3 linked regions of the Caenorhabditis elegans genome follow. The protein of the gene in region 2 interacts with the protein of the main gene of each other region in a pairwise test. Each region holds a gene or a part of one and is shown on either strand. Other genes may lie near its edges.

Region 1 (7,649 bases), on a different chromosome or scaffold from region 2:
TTATTGTTCTTCTTTTTTCTCTTCTTTCGCTTCTGTGAATGTGTGGTGAGGGCCGTAAAGATTTTTCTTTAGTTTTGCAGTTTTCAGTGTGTATAATTTTGTAGTTATGGACAAGATGAATGACTTGATGCATTACCAAAAGTTTTGCAATTAGGAAAAAAAGCTATTTCAAAATTGTGTTTTTTTTTAGAAAATTATTAATAACTCTCAATTTCAAATAGTTTTTTTTCTATTTCACGACATTCAATTTATAATTGAAGTTCAAATGTAGAGTTATTTTTTTGTAAATTAATCATGTTAGTGAAACATATTTTTTTCCAACTTACAATAAACCATGGCTCACTGTTCTTGTTGATCGAAATTTTTTTTTTCATTTTTAAAATTACGTCGATATGAAAATGTAGTGCTGAAAACATCAAGACTTATTTTGAAAATATATTTGGATTTCTAAAAATATTGTTTATTTAAAATACTTCAAGTGGGGCATCCAGAGGTGGAACTTTATTCCCTTAACATTTTATTGTCGAAACTGAAATTTTCCTGATTTATTTTTTCTAAATAATCCTTTTTCATCTTCATCCTTAAAAATATTTCTAATCTAATCGGTTCTTCTCATCGTTTTCTTCCACACAATTCAATGTGTCCCAACTCTTTACCCATCTCTTCACAAAAATGTCAATTTCTGTTCAATTTCCCATGGGAGTTCGATTTTCCGTTTCCCATCCTTTTCCAAACTCGGAGAGCTTGGGGCAACTCAAGAAAAAAAACATTTGGAATACGGATTCCTTAAGATGTGCATCAAAGTACTAGACCTCCTCTTCTTCTAGATCTACTTTCTTTTTCCCCGTATTCACTTCTTTTGTCCCAAATTTCTTTTCATTCCAAATTGGATTCAGTTCCCCTGAGAAGCTCGCCTGAGCCGGCGGGTCACATTAGAGAGTACTACTCTTCTTTTTTCCCGAAAATTTCAATTTGACAGAGTGATTTCAAATAGGGACTAGTACCGAAAAAACATTTTGGGCGGAGTTGTAAACGGTGAAAAAAGTTTAAAAGTTTGAATTTATCTTGAGTTCGGACTTCCTTTCGTTCTAAAAGTATATTGCACAAACACAGGTTTTTTTCGAACTCCAAAACTTGACTTCTAGTTGAAGTATATGTTTAGTTAGTTTTCTAATAAATATAGTTCATTCTAGGACTATTCCCATATTTCCTACCTGCCATTTTTCTTGCCTACAGCAATTTTTCAGTGTCGCTGGGAACTCTTGTATATGATATACATTTCTCCCATTTTAACTTTTTGTTGAAAGTTTCTTCTATGTCATGCCAGTAAACATGCGTGTAGGCAGATAGTTTATTTTGTGCAGTTTGCACTTTTGCGCTTGCTCTGATGTTTTTCTCTCAAATTGATTTTTATTCTATCCAATTGGCATTTTCATTTCTTATCTGTTTCCCATTATCTTCCACAAATTTCCCTCTCTTTTTTCGCCTCATTTTCCGTTTCCAATCCCATCATTTTTCGTTCATTTGCTCCCCACCAATTTTTCCTCAATCGTCTCATGACCTCAAATTGATGGATCACTTTCTCACCTATATCTCTAAATCTCCATGTCTATTCATACTATCTCATCTTCATCTCGAATATCAATCAAAAGTCATCCAAGAATTCTCGTCTCATGAAAATGTCAACACAAACAAAATGTGCTTGAGCTAATTGTTTTTTGTGGGGTGGAACTTTTTGTGCAAGAGCCTGAAATAGCTAAAGCATATAAAATCTACAGTAATCCCTTCATAATTGATCCTCTGGTACTCCATCATTATTGCATGCAGACTCAGAAATGGATTCTAAAACAATTATTCATCAATTGTCCTCTTCTTTTCTTTCTTTTATTTTTCACCATGCACATTTTTCTCTTTCTGCATCGAAAGATTTATAAAATAAAAACTTCAATAAAAATTTTCCTAATTTTCAGATGAGATAGGATTGATAATTTTTATTCGTATTTCACACACACGTAGAAAAAAGAAGAGCCATCACTAAAAACTACATGATTACTTGCCGCCGGTCTGTAGGTAAGATATATTGAGCATGAAGTTTGAATTATTGAATATTATTCAGGTCAATGGGTGTTTTTGTGTGTCGCGACAACATCAATCTCATCACGAATCATCGACGATCAATGGGACAGCGGCAAGCAAAGCAACACATGCAGGTTGGTAATAGTTTTGATATGGGGAATTTTTTTTTCGGAAACTAAAATTTATGCGAACTTCTGTGATGTTTTTTAAAATGTTTTATCATTCCTGTTTGGCATTCCCCAATTTTAAACATTTATTTCTGCAGGCTGGCGTCAAACTTTATCATCAACGACATTACGCACAGGCTATCAATAAATGGAGACAGTCTCTGAACAGGTTAAAGTAAGTCTTTCAGACGACTCCTCTTCTTTTCTATAACGTCCATTTTCAGCAATGCAGAAGACCGGTTTATCACTCTCGGATACCTTGCTCAAGCTCTTTGCGACCAGGGAGAATACGAAGGAATGCTTTCATATGCTCTATCACAAATGCAGTTGGCAACCGATCAAAACGATTCAGCAATGAAATGCGAGGCATTTTTGAATCTAGCAAAAGCCTATGAACGATTAGCAGATTTCACGAAAGCCCTCCAGTATGGCAAAGCATCGTTAGAACATCCTTCGATGGATCCCAGGACGCCTGGTTATGCACATTTAAGTAAGAATTTTCAATAGGTTCTAGACAAAACTGTGGCTATTTCAGCAATAGCACTTGCACACTTAGGAATGTCCCAGTTCCAACAGTGTCTGGAAAGTTTCGAGTCAGCAATGAATGTTGCCAATGAGACATCGGATAGGTTACTCGAATTGCAAATTTGTGTTGGTCTAGGATCTCTTTTTACTCTTTTGAGGTAACCGTACAGAAATGAAAAATAACACATTTTTATTTTCAGAGATATCACTAAAGCTCTGATATTTCTTCGAAATGCTCTCGCAATTGTTCAATCTGTTACTGTTGATGATGTTCATGCAAAGTATCGTTGTTTGATACTTTATCATTTATCAGTTGCTCTAAGGATGAAAGGAAGTCTGGTTGATGCCAAGGAAGCATGCGATGTAAGTTTTTATTTAAAGTTTAAGAACTTCAAAAAGTATTGAATGATTCCAGGAAGCTTCCCAGCTAGCTGTTGAGATGGGTAATCGAGCGATCCATGCAAGATGTATGTGCAGTTTAGCAGATATTTATAGAGAATTGGGAGAGAGTGAAGCCAAAGAGACTATCACTGTGAGTAATTTTAAATTCTCAGTTATTTCAGTAAAAAAACGTTATGCTTGAAAAGTTAATAATAACAACTAACTTTCATTAAAACTTGTATTAGAAATCAATGAGTTTTTTTTTTCTATTGTTAGATAATAAACTCTTTCTTACAGAAATCCTGGGCAAGATACGAAGATGCTTATCGTGTAATGCGCGGAGCAAATGATAAAATGGGCGAAGTAAGTGGCCAAAAAACCTTCAATTATTTATTGGTACAACCAAATACCTCATAAAACCAAAAGCTCACATCCAGGTCTCAATTTCTTTTCCCATTAAATAACTTTTACGACTTTCCCATAAATCTTGAAGCTTTGTGGTTGACACAATCTCACATAGAGATCAGACAACATGAGTATATTTCTGGGGAATTGTGAGAAAATAATTTTAATAAGTTCTGAGTGTTTTTCAGGTATTAGTGCTCTCGTCAATGGCAAAAAGTGCATCTGAAAGTCGATCTCATTACACTGGACAATGTGAATGTCAAGCTATTCAATTGAATAAAAAGTGTATTGAAATTGCAAATCAGATAGGGTGCAAGGTACAAAATCGATAGGATGATTCCACAAAACTTCAAAATTTTGTTTCAGCACGTTGTCTTAAAGTGCCATCTCCGACTAGCCGAACTATATTCTCAACTGAATGATGACGATTCTGAGGAAACTGCTCGAAGAGCTGCGTCTCGGTTAACACAAGAAATGCAATTGTTTTGTAACTTCTGCGGTCAAAGATATGGATTGAAGGATGAGAGTCTTCAAGCTCTTAGGTGTTCGCATATTTTCCATGAAAAGTATGAATGAGTTTCAGAGATTCTAAAAATAAAGTTGTAATGTTTCAGATGCTTACACACGTATCTCCTACAAAGAACAGATCAAACCTGCCCGAAATGTAGATGCAGAGCTGTTTTATCGGACAATATCTCGATACGAAGTTCTATTGCTTCAACAATTGATGTTCAGAGTCCTAGCAGTAAGATTTTTATTATAAACATTTATACTTGAAAATTTATTCGAAAAAATATTAAACTATGAAGCCGAAATTTGAAGTCAACTTTTGTAGAGTATTCAGCAAAAAACATGGTAAAGAAGTTGTCCAAGTTTTAGTTCAAAGCGAACTTTTTCTTCTGAAAACTATTCTAATAGTATTTTTAAAGGTTTATTTTTTATCATTATTGAAAAAATATTTTTTGAATGTCAGCGCGTAATCAATAAACTTTAATTTCAGCGTCTTTCGCCCCACCGGGAGGTGTTGCCACTCCACTTGTCTCAGCAGCTGCCGAACTTGGAGATATCACACCACAAGCCACATTAACACGACGTTCACAACAGGACAAGATTCTTCGTGGCGCCGAGAAAGATATTGATCGAGTTGATCGAAGTCTTGCTAGGCTAAAATCACAACAATCTGCAGCGGCGAATGCATGTTCAGCAGTTGCAGTTCCGTCACCTGAAGTACCTTCAACAACGGCTTCTTGTGCTTCCGAACCGATTCTTACTGCATCGACGACATCGCAGTCACACACGCATTCGAATGCAAATCATAAACCACCACCACCTCCACGGAAACCTTGTTGCTCACAGGTAATATTATTGAAGGAGTTTAAATGATCTTTCTGAACTTTAAATTTTTTCATATGACCTTAAATTGTATTTTGAGAAATCACCTAAATTTGAATGTTTTCAGGCAGCCCTACCTCCATCATCAATAGTAGCTCTTCCTCCAGCAATGCCACTAGCAGAAGATGGTCCTCTTGTGATAACTCACACGCCTACAGTAACAGATGTTTGAAGCCTCAATACAAACTGCAATCATCCCCTCGAAATCCCTTGTTTTGTGATATCATTTATCGTTTTTTTTTAAATAGGAATCTTCAAAATTTTGAATTTCTAGTCTTCTACATTGTCACCCACCAGTTTCTTTCCTGCTCATGTTCACTTTTCAATCTTTTTTTTCAATTAATCTTTTAGAAGTTATTCTTATTTTTATTTTTGATCTCAATTCATATGTTTCAAAGTTTTAATTCTTTCCATAAAAATTTGTTTCAATTTTTGAATATGATGAAATCTTGTGCATGATAACACCCACAAGCTGAAACTTTGTGTGATAGTTGTCCATCTCATTGAGAAAAATTCTGAAAATAGATGAACCCACATGATTTTATTCTCTAAAACTTCAACATTTAACAGAAAAAAATTCAAAATCGGGGGAATTTTTAAACGGTGAAAGCAATTTTGAATTGAAAACTGTGTACGGGCTTAGGAGAACTTAAACATAGATAACCGCTGTATTTTTTAACTCCATCTTCCAATATTTGAATTCAAAACTTAACTAGCATAAAAATTTTAAAGATGACCTCTGTAAACTGTAATAATTAAAAGTTGGGCAGCAATCTTTGTATGATCTAAATCAAAATGTTATCTATATTTCAAAGAACTGTAAAGTGATAAGTTTCCAAAAAATCTTATAGTTTTTTAAGTGATTATGATTATTGTAGTCATCATAATTTCTTTAAACACTACAGACGCCTTTCAGAATAATGTCATCATTTTACCTCTTAAAATTTTAAACTTTGTCCGACAGTCTCTCAACTTCCGTCTCTAATCAAAAAAATCATTTCCTGACTTGAAAACTATAAAACCCAACGCATGAATGCACTGAGACCATTCAACTGATAACCATTATTTCCTGGCTACACAAACCTATTACTTCATACATATTCCAAAACCACCCAAGCCAGCTTGCCAAAATAGCGCGAAATTTTGAATTTTCAGATTTCCACTATATTTCCAGATATTTAATCAATCAATTTTTAAGTGAACTTCCCACCATGCACCAAAAAATTCAATGGAAAAATCGCGTTGGCTTACGAAATGACAAAGCTTCCACAAACACAGGGAGTTCTTAATTTCATTCAGAAATATCTTTACAATTCTACAAACTACAATTTTGAAGATGGGAGCACTCAAGCTATTAATGTACCATATCCAGATTCAGGTGTCTATGAAAATTACATACTTCATTATCCAGATGCTACGTGAGTTCTTATCTTGAATTTTGGTCCTAATTATTTTTTTTAATTTCAGGAGCACTGAACTTTTGGACATAAATATTGATCAATTATACAGTGAAGTTATGGTTCTGACTGACCCAAAGATTGAGAGGTACTCAATTTATTTTTATGTTTAACAGCCGGTTTTTGCAATTTAGAAGCTTGAAATGTAGACTTCTTCATTATCAAAATTTTCAGAGCATATGAATATATTCTTGAGGAACGCGATCCAGGAACTTCATCCACTAATATCCTGGTCACCGTCGGCGTTGAGTGAGTTACAATTATAACAACTATTTACATATTCCAAAGTTTTACCTTTTTAGTGATATAGCTGCATTTGATGGAAGTGCATCCAGTTATATGCATCAACTTCAACAAAAATACAATTTCCGTTCGATCGTGGTCTCGATTGGACCAAATCCAAATTACCTGGAAGTTTTGGCTGAGAGCCCAGATTGGTATTTCACTGCAACTGATTCTAACGGAAAATGGGTTGCTGAACAGATTTCAAGAATTATTTGTCATTTGTAAGCATAATTCTGAAATAACTAAAATAAATAATGTTTTATTCCAATTTTGGTTTAAATATTCATATGTGTTTGCGAGGTACAAAATACTTTTTATGAATTTAACGTTTATTTAAATTGAAACATAAACGTCGTTGAAAAGGCGGAATCGGAGACACCCTCGTTGAGTTACACGTATTAGGAAAATGTGAAAAATATACAGCTATCAAAAAATTAATAAAATTAGAATGATGTGGCACACGGTCCCGCATAATAGTCACATTCATGTTCTGGATATCTTCGGAAATTTTGTGGAGTTCTGTGATTGGATCTTCCAGTGTTCAAACCTCGTTCAATGTATTCGGCAAGATCATACGGTGTTCTGAAATATAAATTTAGGCAACATTGGCAGAATTTTAAATGAAAAAGGTTACGGTCTAGCAATGGGGAACATTGGAATTCCCATATTATCCGGATGATTTCCTCCTTGATTTCTTCCTCCATTTTTATTCCTGTTCATTTTTTGACCATTTCCAATGTTTCCACCAATGTTCCCAATATTTCCAATATGATAGTTACTCCTATTATTTTTAACCCGACTATTTGTCTTTCTTTGCTCTTCTGGATAACTGATCAGAGTTGGATGTCTGCAATATAATCAATAAATTTTAATTCTTATCTGAAAAACTAACATGGCACCCATTCCATTTCTATTTCCACCGGTACTTCCAACTTTTCCTATTGCTTTCGGTTTTTTCGGG
Region 2 (8,143 bases):
AATAAAAGAACCTGTCTCAAATGCAAATTTGATGTTCATTTCGGGTAAACGTCCGTTCCTTTTTATTTGCGATCGAAAAATCTTCTACATTTCAATCTCATCCATTTTCTTTTATTTAATTGTTCTATTCGCAACTTTTTCTTTACGGTAGAAGAGAATTGAATGAATGAATACTCTTCTATTTTAGGCAAAAAATGAGAGAAAAGGAACAGGAACTCGGATGACGAGAGAGGGAAAGACCCCATTCAATCATTTATCCCCAATTTCCCTTGACAGCTCACCGCTCTCTCGTCCTTCCCCTTTTTTAGTGTTTTTTATTTCAAAAAAATATTAGCGTTCTTGGCAATTGTTTGAATATTTTAAAATGCACCTTTTTAAATTGAAGTAGGCTACCCTTTTCAAAATCGATCAATTAATTTTCAGACACTTTAAAGGTGGATTACCGAAATCGGAAACTTTGCTTTTTTAGACGCAAAAGAAAATGTGCCCTTTTCCCGAACTTTGAACCACCATAACTTTTTTAAAAAGAATTTTTCAAAACGTCTCATTACGAAATTCGGTAGTTTTGAGTCATTTTGGGCCTAAAAAATAAAGTCTAAGATTTCGGTACTCCGCCTTTGAAGAATTTCGAACAGTTCACTCTTGCTTCTTCTTCATCCTTCAATTCCAAAAAGTGCACTTTAATCAATTTTGTTCTCTTAGTCAATCTGTCACCCTTAGACACATACGAGAATGCATAGCTAATTCGACTTTAGTTCAGGGTCAATCCTTTTTCATTCCAGAAATTGGCCCCAATCTATTCAGTCTTTCCGAACCGTTTTCTGTATGTGTAAGTGTCTGTGTTGTGTGAATGTGCGGCGATTGTGTGAGAGACCGAGAAAACGAACGAACGACGCTAAGAAAAATGTTCACTTCTCACCCAAAAGCGCCGAAAAACGATTGTCATCGCCCCTCGGTCTCTATGATTTCTGTGTGCTCTCAGAACATGGACGTCTGTTGACCAACAAATCCGGTCGATCACACTCATTTTGACCATTTTTTTCTGCCGCGCGGCAAGCTCTTATCACACCATCAGTCATTTTTTGTGGTCTGAAGAATAATGTTTGTAAGCATTGCCACTGTGTGTTTTGCATAGTAGAAAATGTGGCAAGTAGGTTGGTATTTTTATTACATTGAATATTTTCAACTACCGTATTTTATCTAATAGTTTTATACCCCCTTTTCTCAACATTGATATTTCTCGGCAATTTTTGTTTTATCAAAAAGTGGCCAATTGGTAAAATATATACATATATATGTTGATTTTTTCTATTTAAGAACTTTTAAAAATTTCATACCTTGAAAATAATAGTGTACAAGACTAATAGGGAAAATAAGACTAAAATAAAAAAAATCTGTCAGATTTTCAAAATTCACAATGTTAAAATTTTAGCTAATTACATTTTGTAGTTGCTGGAACTTTTCAAAAATTGGATCAAAACGAATACCGTATTCTTACCAGTAGATTTACACCACAATTGTTCAACTTTGGCTGCTCATATTTCGGTTGGCTTTTGTTCTATCAAAAATATTAAAATTAATGCAATTTATTTCTTTCACTACAATCTTAGTTGTTGAATATTTTTTTGATATCTGCACAATGAACCGAGATCTAAGTCGTCAAAGTAATAATGGTATTTAAAAATGTGAGGAAACTAGGGAGTTAAGAGCATCCAAGGGATCAACGTTTTTACATTGGACCAAAGTATCTGCAAAAGCGCGCGGCAAATCATGTAGGCACAAAGGTAGGCATTTGTGTGTTTTCATGAATATTGAGAATTCAGTAAATAATGTGATCTACCTACATAAAGGTTCCTATAGGAGTTCTCTGTAGAGAACTTCAACTATATTTTGGAAGCATGATTTTCCCTGTTTCGCCTTTGTCTCTTCTCAGCATCAATCAAATTTTTGCATTTCTCAGGATTAATGTGTGTCTTTTTCGTTGTGTTCTCGTAACTACGAATCTCCAGCTGATTCCCTCGAGTACAAATTGCAAACAGCCGTCCCCTTCTTCTACTTCTTGTCCTTCATTTTTGTTTCTAAAGTCGCTGTCATCACTGTGATTCTGTGGTGACTGCTGCAGCACAACATGCCAGATGCGTGGCAGATGTTGAAAACTTTCGGAAGTTTGTGTAGAAATCGGAGAAGAAGAAGAAGAACTTGACGAATTATATGAGCCTGACCAGCGCTGTCGTCTCGGTGCGTTTACCATTAGTATGTTACAAAATTGACCTGTCTCCCTTTCTTTTTCTATCCGCAGAGGATTTAACGCTTTATGAGAAAACCGTTCACCATATTATCGGCGAGAAGCAAAAGTGCGTGCCGTAACGGCAAAGTGTATGTTTGTTCTCCAAATATCACATTCAGCTTTTTTGCGCCTCGCAAGAAAATGCTCTAGGCTTGCCGACGGTCAACTCGAACCTTCTGGACCAAATTGAAAATTTTCCGACTGTCCTGAAACTATAGCTCCTAATAGTTGTATTTTATTTTTAAATTCAAAAATTTTCCAACATTAAGAAAGAAGGGAATCGAGTTTCCCAGGTGCAATGACTCACGGCTTTTCGAACGAAAGTGGGATTTTTGACGAATTTCAAATTTTCGAAAGTGGCAAGTATTTTCGCTAAAGTAATGTTATTCTTTTCAAAATATTGTCTAAATTTTCTAATTTATTACTAGAAAGTTTTAAAGTGCTACAGTAATCATGACTCTAAAATTATTAAGTTAACATGTATATTTCAATTTTATCTAATTCATTATAAATATGTATTGAAAACTTACTTATATTATTTAGTTGAATTTTTATTAGAAACACCAGTTTTTACTAAAAAATAGAGTTTAAATATTTTTCATGTCTCTTTTAGTAACAAAATTTATTGAGTGATACCCGTAGAAAACAACAGGTGTGACCGCACTAAAATATATACAACACACTACATTTCCCGCAATTCATGTAGGCCAAATGGTGGTGGGTACACTGCACGCGTGTTAGAGTTGCCCCTCGGTTTAGTCGATCGATAAACAGTATTGCATCCCTGCTAGTCTTCCACATACCTCTTTAAGACACTACATGGAACAATTCAATTTTTTTTCGCTTTTTTCATTTTTTTCTTTTATCAATAATATCTTCGAACTTCCAAAACATTACACGATTTGTTTTGTTTCTGTTCAAATTGAGTTCAAAATAGGGCGCGCGAAATTTTTTTAGTCGAAGACTTCATTTTTCGGTTTTTCTTGCTCGTTTTGCGCTATACTTTTCAATACATTTTGCGCAAATATCTTGTTGTCACCTGACAGTGCTAAACTTTCTGAAAAATCTGCGCGCACTTCTTCTTATTTATTCTTCTTCCAATTTCCAATCTCTGACTCATTATTAATTTGTCATTTCGACAGCGCCTTATTCATATTCACACTGCACTCTTTCTCATCTTTTGCTTGTCCCTTGCTCTCCTTCGGGTTCTCTTGAGGTCGCCGACACACAAACGGTTGTTTCGTAATAAATATTTATTTGTTTTCGCAAAATTTATGCGGTCCCCTTTCTCATGGGCCATTCCGAACTTTGAAGATAGTAATTCATTTTCGTTGCAGAGAAGACATTCCAACTCGACATTCTCTTAATGAACCCACGACTAAAAAGATGACCGACAAAACAGCTGGTGAGATTGAGAGTTTAGTCCATAAACATCAAGATTATTAATTTCAGAACTTTGCCTGAAAATTGGAGATGAAGAAAAGGATGATTTCACATTGGAAATTGAAAAGCTTCAGGTTTGTTTTGATTTGTTTCATGTCTAACGGCTCCACCCCAAAATAAAACTCATTTCAAAACCACTTCCCATTGTTTATTCGCAAGAAAAAAGGATTAGTGAAGTAGTGGAAGGCTCTTCCCAACCACTTGTTCGTCGTCCTTCTGAATTCCTCCCCTCACTATCCCAAGTTTTCAGGCCACTCTTCAAGAAATGCTCGATTGCACGAGCAGCCCAAGCACTTCACTAGATTCCACTGACAAACGTGAGTTATTCAATCATTTATGACCTTCAAGAAAGATATTGAGTTTAACGAAGAAGTTTAAAGTTTGAATATTCCATGCATTTCAAAGTTCAGTTTACAGTGAAATATAAAACAGAGCTTTTAGTTATTGTGTGGTTGAAAAGTTTTTAATTCTTTAGTGAGTTTTTTTTTCAAACATAGATAGATATAATACAATATGCTCCCTATTAGTATTACACCTACATTTCTATACTCTGAGATTTCATATTTCGATTATTTCTAAAGATAAAAATGTAACCTAAATTTTACTAGTTGAATACTTTCACTGTCAAAAGAAACACAGTAGGAGCACACGTTAATACCTAATTTTTTAATATTCATCAAGACTGTCTTAAAATTTTTTTTTGTTTGGGTTCCGAATAAAAATTTAACAACTAAAGCAAAAAAAATCATTGTAAGTCAAGAAAGATCATTTTTGAAAAAAAAACCAAAAATCAGGAAATAGCCAAAAAAAGACTGAAAATAATTTTTAATATTCTAGTGCCATCCGGACTTGCTGCTCGTCGACTGATCCGTATTGCCAGTGAACATCATCATATTTCCACGACATCTTCTTGCCATTCGGACTCTGGAAACTCTTCATCTCGAGACGTCATCACCCCGTTTACAGTACATGGCGGAGCCTCAATTGGACGACTCATTCTGATTGATATTGTGCGACGTGATGATTTAATTGGAATTGTTCATCCTAACGATATTCTTTTAACAATTGAGAACATGTAGGTTTTCTAGAACATTTCTTTTTTTATTATTTAAATTTTCAGAAAAGTATCAGGAATGGTAAGATCTGAAGTGAATAGGATATTGGAAGATATGATGAGAGAACATGATCAAATTGCGATTGAAATTCTACCAGCTGGAGCAATTACCGATGATATTTGTGAACTACTGGCCGATAGAAAATCATCTGGTGAACTTCAGACTATCATTCGAGAAAATTTATATCAGAAGACAGTTCCTTGTGAGTTACAAAAAAAGTTGATCTGAAACTAACTAGATTGGATTTAATACTTATAAGTTTCATTCCTCAAAACCTCATTGTTTTCAATGGCACTAGCAGCTGCCCACAGGGAGTATCATTGAGATGAAATAGTGTGTGATCTAGAGAAACCTAGACATCCGCCCCATTAAATTAGGTGATTTAGGATCTAGGGGATCATCACAAGGTGGGGGAGGGTCCGAAGCTGGCCACCAGTGGAAGTGTTAAAATGTTCGGTTCGCCTTTACCAAAACATTCACTAAAACCTGCATTTCTTTCCAAACGAACATCTCTTCCTGTTATTGATCTAAAAGATTATTATGGAGGGACAAGTATTGAAGTTAAAACAAATTTCAATTTCAAAGTGACCATTTTCAGACACAACTCGACCTCCACGAGAAGGTGAAGTTGATGGAGAACACTATCGATTTGTGTCTGTAGATGATTTTAATAAGCTTCTCGACAGTGGTGACTTGCTCGAAAATGGTACATATCAAGGTAACCTCTTTTCTCCATGTTCAACTATTTTACGCTTATTATCATAAAAGAAAACCGCTGCTTCACGGTTTTACTTGCTCGCGAATCTCCGTAAAATCCAGCCACCTGGTAGCCTTTTTCGGCACCTGTCTTAAGAATTTCTTATTTCTTATTTCCACCGCTTCAATAGCTCCATCTGTCTTTGTCTGCGATCTCTTATATCCCCTATTACCTTCTCATCACACTCACTTACCTGTTTTCTACCTCACAGTCCTCGTCTACCCTCTTACGCAATCTTGGTATGTCCTCAAATGGAGGACTGTACCCTCTACGTCTCCTGCTTCATAACACTATTTCGTGACAAAACACAGTCCCATTCCGCTCATTTTGCATCTTTCTCCTTCCGTTGTCCCTCTCTCTTTCTCTCTTACCTGACACAATGGTTCATTCACCTCTCTCACCAAAATTGGAGTGGATTACATTCTTTGCATGTGTAAAAAGTGCACCCTAAAATTTGAAAATTCTTTCTCAACGGATCTGCCTTCCCAGATCATTTTTCATCCATATGTCCGCCTTGAGAAAATGCATATATCATGCTCACTTGTCATCGGAGCCCACCAATATCCATGTGACAAGTAGCAGTAAACTTGACTATTGTTTTTGGCTCCTCTTCATTCCATTTCGGAAAGAGAAGACTTGGTGATGCCCCCACAGATTCGATTCAATTTCGTTAATTCAATCTCATAGTGGCTTCTTCCATTCTTTTCTGTTTCGTTTCTATTCTTCTTCTTACTTTTTCGCATCCTTCTTATTCTCGCCCTACACTTTCTCTGCTTAATCCCTGTTTGAACTAAATTCTCGGAGAAGACAAGGAGTTAGCAGCAAAAGTTGAATCCTGAAGTTTTTTTTTCGTTTTTTTTCTTTACTGGTGTCGTTGCCTGCCTATTTGCGTCCTTGTCAAAACAATGCCATTTTTCGGTCAAGTACCCTGAACCAGTACTAGTTTTGACAGTAAGTCCGAAAATGGAAGTTGAAAGGGCATAATGATGATGAGGATTGTTATTGAAATAGAGATGCAAAACTGGCGTTTTGACATTCAGGTCTAAATTCTTTTAGTTGTAAATGAGAGTTTACTATGATTTTCGTAACAGACTGTATTTCCCAAATTTTCAGAAAGACGGGGTCCATAGTTTTTTATTTTGTTTTGTTTTATGCAAAAGTGTTCAACTTGTAAAATTTAGGTCGAATCTTTCTTCTTCTTCTCTGAATTTAAAAACATTTGATCAACTTAAGATTAAGACTAGCTGAGCTACAAAATTTCAAAATAGAGCAACGGAGGTGACTGATAAGGAAATTGATTAATTTTCAAAGTCTTCTACAGCTACGACTGATACCAAAAAATAAACTTGTTGCCATAGTTTTAAAATATATTGTTTATCGAAAAATTTGGTGATACAGGCACCAGACCATTTTTTATTTTCGAAAATTACTGAAAATGTTCTTTACTGAAATTGGTTGGCTGGTTTTATTTTGGTTTGTTGTCTAATTGACAGAGTTTCACAGTTATGTTCAATTCTTATGGCTTCAGCCAAAACCATTGTTACTAGCTCTCAGAATTCGAACCATATCTCTTCGATACAAGATTTCTCATCACACACCTCTGATAAGCATAAAACTTTCCGAATCATGTCTTGAAAACTTATGACTATCATAACTTTCTATGCGAGACCTGTTTTCAAGTTTTCAAATCACCAATCTCTTTCACTCTCTCATCTCAAAACAGTTGCCAACAATAACACTACCAAAAAAAACGGCTAACGACGGGCGTCCCGCAATCAGAAAGTTTTGATAAGATTTCACCCATCACTGCGTCTCTTCAACTCACATTGTCTCTTGTCATTTTCAATGACCAACTTTTACTTTTTGGCAGAAAACACCAAAAAAGTGAGAGGTGCGAGCTAGTCATTTGACAAAAAGTGAAAAGAAGTAGGGGGAGGAGTAGGTGGAGACTTCTCATTTTTGACCGAAAGGTTCGTGGGGTTTTTTCCTGTTGGAAATGAAGTTATGGGAAAGACCAATGTCTGTGTCTCTGGGATAACCATTGTGTTTTTTCCATGCAAAAAAGAAAATGGAACCGCCTATTCTTGCTGGTGTCTTTTTTCCGGAATGGGAAATGTTTCAAAACAAAAATTAGTTTTTGAAGCAAAAAGAAAGTTCCCTTCCAAAACATCTCCGCCTACACAATTTCTGGTTTTTGCTCCATTATGTTCCATCACGTGTGAATTGGAAATTAAACAAACTAAACAAATCGGCTACTATTTTCAAACGACACTATAATTATACTATTGTTATTATAACTACTGTTGTCAAATCGGAATTGTTTCGGAATCATCACTAGCAAAATGCAGCGTGTCCGTCGCTTATTGTTAGCCGCCAAATTGCGACGAACACAATCCGAGGACGTGCCCTCATCGAATTCGATGCAAAAAGAAAAAACGATGATGATGAAAGGTAACCGTTAATCGAGGAGAAATAGAATGAAATTAATGCCATTTCCGATTTGTAAGATATTGGAAAAAGGGATACTGTACATATGTAAAT
Region 3 (4,797 bases), on a different chromosome or scaffold from region 2:
TTGCACGTGATGATTTTATACACAGCTTCTTGGCTGAATATATCTGGAAGGAAACAACAAATTTCTGTGAATTTTCAAATTTCAGACTCTACCACAGGCTCCGCCAGAATCAAGTAATCCATTCCAACAAAATCCACCTCCGCCGTCTCGAACGGGCGAGCTCGGAGGCAATCAAACCAGGTCGTGTAGTCATATCTCAGGGATTCAATCCGCATTCTTACAAAAATGTGTCGAATATTCAATTGGCAGCACGCCTCGAGACCATATGGATGATTCTGCAAACGCACGACGGTCTCGTCACGACAAAATTTCGTTAATTGATAAAAGGTGTGCGCCTTTAAAGAGCACTGTAATTGAAAACTTTCGTTGCTCACGCGGGATCCTGGCCTTGCTCATTGAATTTTTCGCGCTCCATTGATAATCTCCCGCTGGACAACGCGTGGGAAAGTCGTGTACTCCACACGGACACGTACATTTCGTTTTACAACTAAAACCGAGCCGCGACGCGACACGCAACGCACCTTAAATCTACCCCAGATATGGCCGAGCCAAAATGGACTAGTTCGGCCTAAACTCTTCCATTTCAATTTATGAGGGAAGCCAGAAATCTGTGAAAACTAGAAGAAAATAATTAAAAACCCCAAATTTCCAACAAATTATAGAAAAAACTAGATAACACAAAAATTTGTAATTACAGTACTCTTTAAAGGCGCACACATAATCGCGTAAGAATTACCAGAATTTGCAGTGTATGAATACTTGTTCCTGGTCGATTTAAATAGAAATCCACCAATTTCCGAAAGGTTTCAGTCTGTGAATCTTCAGGACTTGCAATTAAAATTCCGAATTGTTGAACTCCACCGAATAAAACGTTGGCGCCAAGCTGAGCAGTTTGAATATTGAAATTATATTTTTTATCAATCGAAAAGTGCCAGTCCTCCCTTGTTGTATCGATTTTTATACAATTAAAGTGATAGGGAAGCTTTTTTTCAAGCTTGCGAAATATCGAGTTGAAATTTGCAAGATGGCTTCTGTAATCGTGTTTTCAAATGGATTCTAAAATAAAACCCACTTCTTGTCAAATGATAAATATTTGAATATGCATGGGACGCTTTCAGAATACATTTTAAGCTGAAATATTATCAATAATTGCAGCAAAAAAGGCAAAATTGCGAAATTTCTTGCTACGAAATTTTCTTCAGTGAAAATTAATTGTTCTAGTTGGTATCAAGTGTATGCAAATGGAAAAACGGTAAAAAATATATTTCAAATCATGTTTTCATAAGTTTGTCTTTATAAATCTTTATTCCAGACCTGTTTCCTTCTTTTGCGCGTGGGGTACGGTACGCAGTCCGCAAACACCGAATGCGAGCGCGAAAATTTTTCGATTAATTTTATAATTTTTTCCGCCATTTTTCTCATTTTCCACGCATTTTTCGATTTCTTTTGTGATTTTTACCTTAAAAAAGTTAATTTTCACGTTAATTTCCCTCAAAAATTCGATTTTCTCCGATTATTTCTCATTATTTTCTTCAGAATGCCACCACGCAAGATCAAGAAGGACCCGGCTGTGGTTGCGATGGCGGATACTCTCGAGACGCGTGGTAAGCTTGAAGATCTCCAGTAATTTATTATATTTAAATAATTTATTTTCCAGTCAAGGACTTACTCGAGGAGTATAAGAAGAAGCTGCGGGAGGTCGCCCTTCAGACAGCAAAGGCTGAATCCGACCGGATCATCGCCACAATCAAGCCAAAATACAGGGATATGCCGATCATGGAGTTTCTGGCATCGCCACCGGATGATTTCTACATTGAATCCGGCGAGGAGGAGGAGGAAGGAGAAGCGGCGGTGGCGGTTAAGCAGGAGCTTCCTTCCGAGCCTGACATGGAAATCGACGACGCGGCGGCGGCGCAAAAGACGAGCATTCCGATTGGCCAGAACTCGTAAGTTTTCAAAAAAATCCAAATTTCCGCCATTTACTTTTATCAATAAATTTTCCAGCGGCCGGAACACGGTGCAGGTCAAGCAGGAGCCTGAAATCGACGACGATGCGGCGCATGAGACGAGCATTCCGATTGCTCCATCTGGCCAGAACTCGTAAGTTTTCAACAAAAAAAAAATCGATTTCTCAATAAATAAATTAATTTTTTTTCAGCGGCAGGAACACGGCGGCCGACGAGCACCGCCGCAACGAGATCATAACGCCAGCTGGACAAGTGCTCCCACTGCCAACACTTCAACCGGAAAAGCCATTCCGTGCTCCACACGTTGACGAGGAAATCGCCTTCTCGGTGAACGGATCGCCACTGGTCTTGGCTGGAAGAACTACTGCTACTGCTGCTGGCAAGGAGAATCGGAAGAAGTCGAAGAAATCTGGTGCGGCGAGCAAGAAGGCAGCGGCAGCAGCCGGGCCTCTCCAGCCGGAAACTGAAAATGCCGGGACGTCTGTATAGGAAAAATCCCCCGATTTAATTTTTCCCCCGCTTTAATTTTTATAATGATCTGTAAATACTTGATATTTCAATTTTTCCCGTCTTTTACCTTTTATATGCAAATTTTTTGATCTCAACGATCGTTTGATTCTCTAAATAGACTGCAAAAAATTTGACTGCAAAAAATCGAAAAAAAATTAGTTTTTTTTCAGAGAAAATCGGAAAGAAAACTTCCAGCCTTCTTGTACTACTCTTGGACAACTGTGAACTAGTTATTTAAACAGTTTTTGACAAGAATCCGCGATTTTGTTCAACTTACGCTAATTCTTTTTGTGTTTTACATCAGCGGTGGACGCCAAACTGTCGGAATTGAAGATTTCCGGCAAATCTGTAATTTGCCGGAATTGAATATTTGCGGCAAATCTGTAATTTGCCGGAATTGAATATTTGCGGCAAATCTGTAATTTGCCGGAATTAAATGTTTCCGGAACATCGGCAAATTGCCGGTATTAAATGTTTCCGGAACATCGGCAAATTGCCGGAATTGAGTATTTCCGGTAATTCGGCAAATTGCCGGAATTGAGTATTTCCGGCAAATCGGCAAATTGCCGGAATTGAAATTTCCAGCAAATCGGCAAATTGCCGTAAATGATTATTTCCGGCAAATCGGCAAATTGCCGGAATTAAATATTTCCGTAGATAAAGTTTTTACAGAAAAGTCATCAACTGATAAGTTGTTGATATTGTTGTAAAGAACAAGTTTGTAGTTGAAAGTTTTTTACCAAAAAATTTTTGTTTGAGATAAATAAAACCGCGTGAAGTGCGGCTTATGATCCTTTGAAGCTGAAGGATCAGATCACCAGGAGGTACCCTTCTTATCCTTCGGAGCTGAATGATCAGATTACCAGGAGGTACTCTTCTTATCCTTCGGAGCTGAATGATCAGATCACCAGGAGGTACCCTTCTGATCCTTCGGAGCTGAAGGATCAGATCACCAGGAGGTACCCTTCTTATCCTTCGGAGCTGAATGATCAGATTACCAGGAGGTACTCTTCTTATCCTTCGGAGCTGAATGATCAGATCACCAGGAGGTACCCTTCTTATCCTTTGAAGCTGAAGGATCAGATCACCAGGAGGTACCCTTCTTATCCTTCGGAGCTGAATGATCAGATTACCAGGAGGTACTCTTCTTATCCTTCGGAGCTGAATGATCAGATCACCAGGAGGTACCCTTCTGATCCTTCGGAGCTGAAGGATCAGATCACCAGGAGGTACCCTTCTTATCCTTCGGAGCTGAATGATCAGATTACCAGGAGGTACTCTTCTTATCCTTCGGAGCTGAAGGATCAGATCACCAGGAGGTACCCTTCTTATCCTTCGGAGCTGAATGATCAGATTACCAGGAGGTACTCTTCTTATCCTTCGGAGCTGAATGATCAGATCACCAGGAGGTACCCTTCTTATCCTTTGAAGCTGAAGGATCAGATCACCAGGAGGTACCCTTCTTATCCTTCGGAGCTGAAGGATCAGATCACCAGGAGGTACCCTTCTTATCCTTCGGAGCTGAATGATCAGATTACCAGGAGGTACTCTTCTTATCCTTCGGAGCTGAATGATCAGATCACCAGGAGGTACCCTTCTTATCCTTTGAAGCTGAAGGATCAGATCACCAGGAGGTACCCTTCTTATCCTTCGGAGCTGAATGATCAGATTACCAGGAGGTACTCTTCTTATCCTTCGGAGCTGAATGATCAGATCACCAGGAGGTACCCTTCTTATCCTTCGGAGCTGAATGATCAGATCACCAGGAGGTACCCTTCTTATCCTTTGAAGCTGAAGGATCAGATCACCAGGAGGTACCCTTCTTATCCTTCGGAGCTGAATGATCAGATTACCAGGAGGTACTCTTCTTATCCTTCGGAGCTGAATGATCAGATCACCAGGAGGTACCCTTCTGATCCTTCGGAGCTGAAGGATCAGATCACCAGGAGGTACCCTTATGATCCTTTGAAGCTGAAGGATCAGATCACCAGGAGGTACCCCCTGTGATCCTTCGGAGCTTGAGGATCAGATTATAAGGAAGAATCTTACGATATTCCAAGTTAGTTGGACGTTTTACAGCATTTTCCCAAAAGATCATTGTTCATACATTCAATTGTGAGTAGTCAAGGCCGGAAATCCATGGAAAATTGCATTTAAAAACTTATTCCAGTGAAAAAAAAACAAAAATCGATCGAGAAATATATATAAAAAACTAGTTGAAAAAGTTTGTCACCGAAGATCCGGTCAGAGACAAATGGCACTTTGTCGACTGGATACCATATCACTTTGGATACTTTGTCCCCAAAAATACCTTGTCACC

The links. The genes of interacting proteins can lie anywhere in the genome.
Region 1: the proteins of magi-1 (region 2) and rpy-1 interact in a two-hybrid assay, tested with the Caenorhabditis elegans proteins (2 studies listed by BioGRID).
Region 3: the proteins of magi-1 (region 2) and csc-1 interact in a two-hybrid assay, tested with the Caenorhabditis elegans proteins (2 studies listed by BioGRID).

The regions. Positions count from the first base shown.
Region 1 is NC_003280.10:6,699,965-6,707,613, reverse strand, and holds rpy-1 (43 kDa receptor-associated protein of the synapse homolog), read left to right. Parts: upstream 1-1,970; 5' UTR 1,971-2,070; intron 2,071-2,116; 5' UTR 2,117-2,120; coding exon 2,121-2,210; intron 2,211-2,341; coding exon 2,342-2,418; intron 2,419-2,467; coding exon 2,468-2,733; intron 2,734-2,778; coding exon 2,779-2,926; intron 2,927-2,968; coding exon 2,969-3,131; intron 3,132-3,183; coding exon 3,184-3,300; intron 3,301-3,446; coding exon 3,447-3,512; intron 3,513-3,742; coding exon 3,743-3,871; intron 3,872-3,920; coding exon 3,921-4,120; intron 4,121-4,168; coding exon 4,169-4,299; intron 4,300-4,554; coding exon 4,555-4,910; intron 4,911-5,013; coding exon 5,014-5,118; 3' UTR 5,119-5,381; downstream 5,382-7,649. Other genes in the region: C18H9.6 (uncharacterized protein), read left to right, coding at 6,201-6,364, 6,414-6,491, 6,578-6,652, 6,706-6,913; C18H9.1 (uncharacterized protein), read right to left, coding at 7,132-7,270, 7,323-7,535, 7,581-7,649.
Region 2 is NC_003282.8:11,711,417-11,719,559, forward strand, and holds the start of magi-1 (Guanylate kinase), read left to right. Parts: upstream 1-3,622; 5' UTR 3,623-3,673; coding exon 3,674-3,692; intron 3,693-3,739; coding exon 3,740-3,804; intron 3,805-3,980; coding exon 3,981-4,047; intron 4,048-4,567; coding exon 4,568-4,805; intron 4,806-4,850; coding exon 4,851-5,047; intron 5,048-5,108; exon of another isoform or gene 5,109-5,285; intron 5,286-5,443; coding exon 5,444-5,563; intron 5,564-5,802; exon of another isoform or gene 5,803-5,947; intron 5,948-7,448; exon of another isoform or gene 7,449-7,659; intron 7,660-7,706; exon of another isoform or gene 7,707-7,944; coding exon of another isoform or gene 7,945-8,053; intron 8,054-8,143.
Region 3 is NC_003280.10:13,595,419-13,600,215, forward strand, and holds csc-1 (Chromosome segregation and cytokinesis defective protein 1), read left to right. Parts: upstream 1-1,536; 5' UTR 1,537-1,537; coding exon 1,538-1,604; intron 1,605-1,657; coding exon 1,658-1,946; intron 1,947-2,004; coding exon 2,005-2,100; intron 2,101-2,158; coding exon 2,159-2,456; 3' UTR 2,457-2,529; downstream 2,530-4,797. Other genes in the region: fbxc-23 (FTH domain-containing protein), read right to left, coding at 1-43, 93-275, 737-1,031, 1,073-1,125. UniProt on the Caenorhabditis elegans protein: Component of the chromosomal passenger complex (CPC), a complex that acts as a key regulator of chromosome segregation and cytokinesis during mitosis.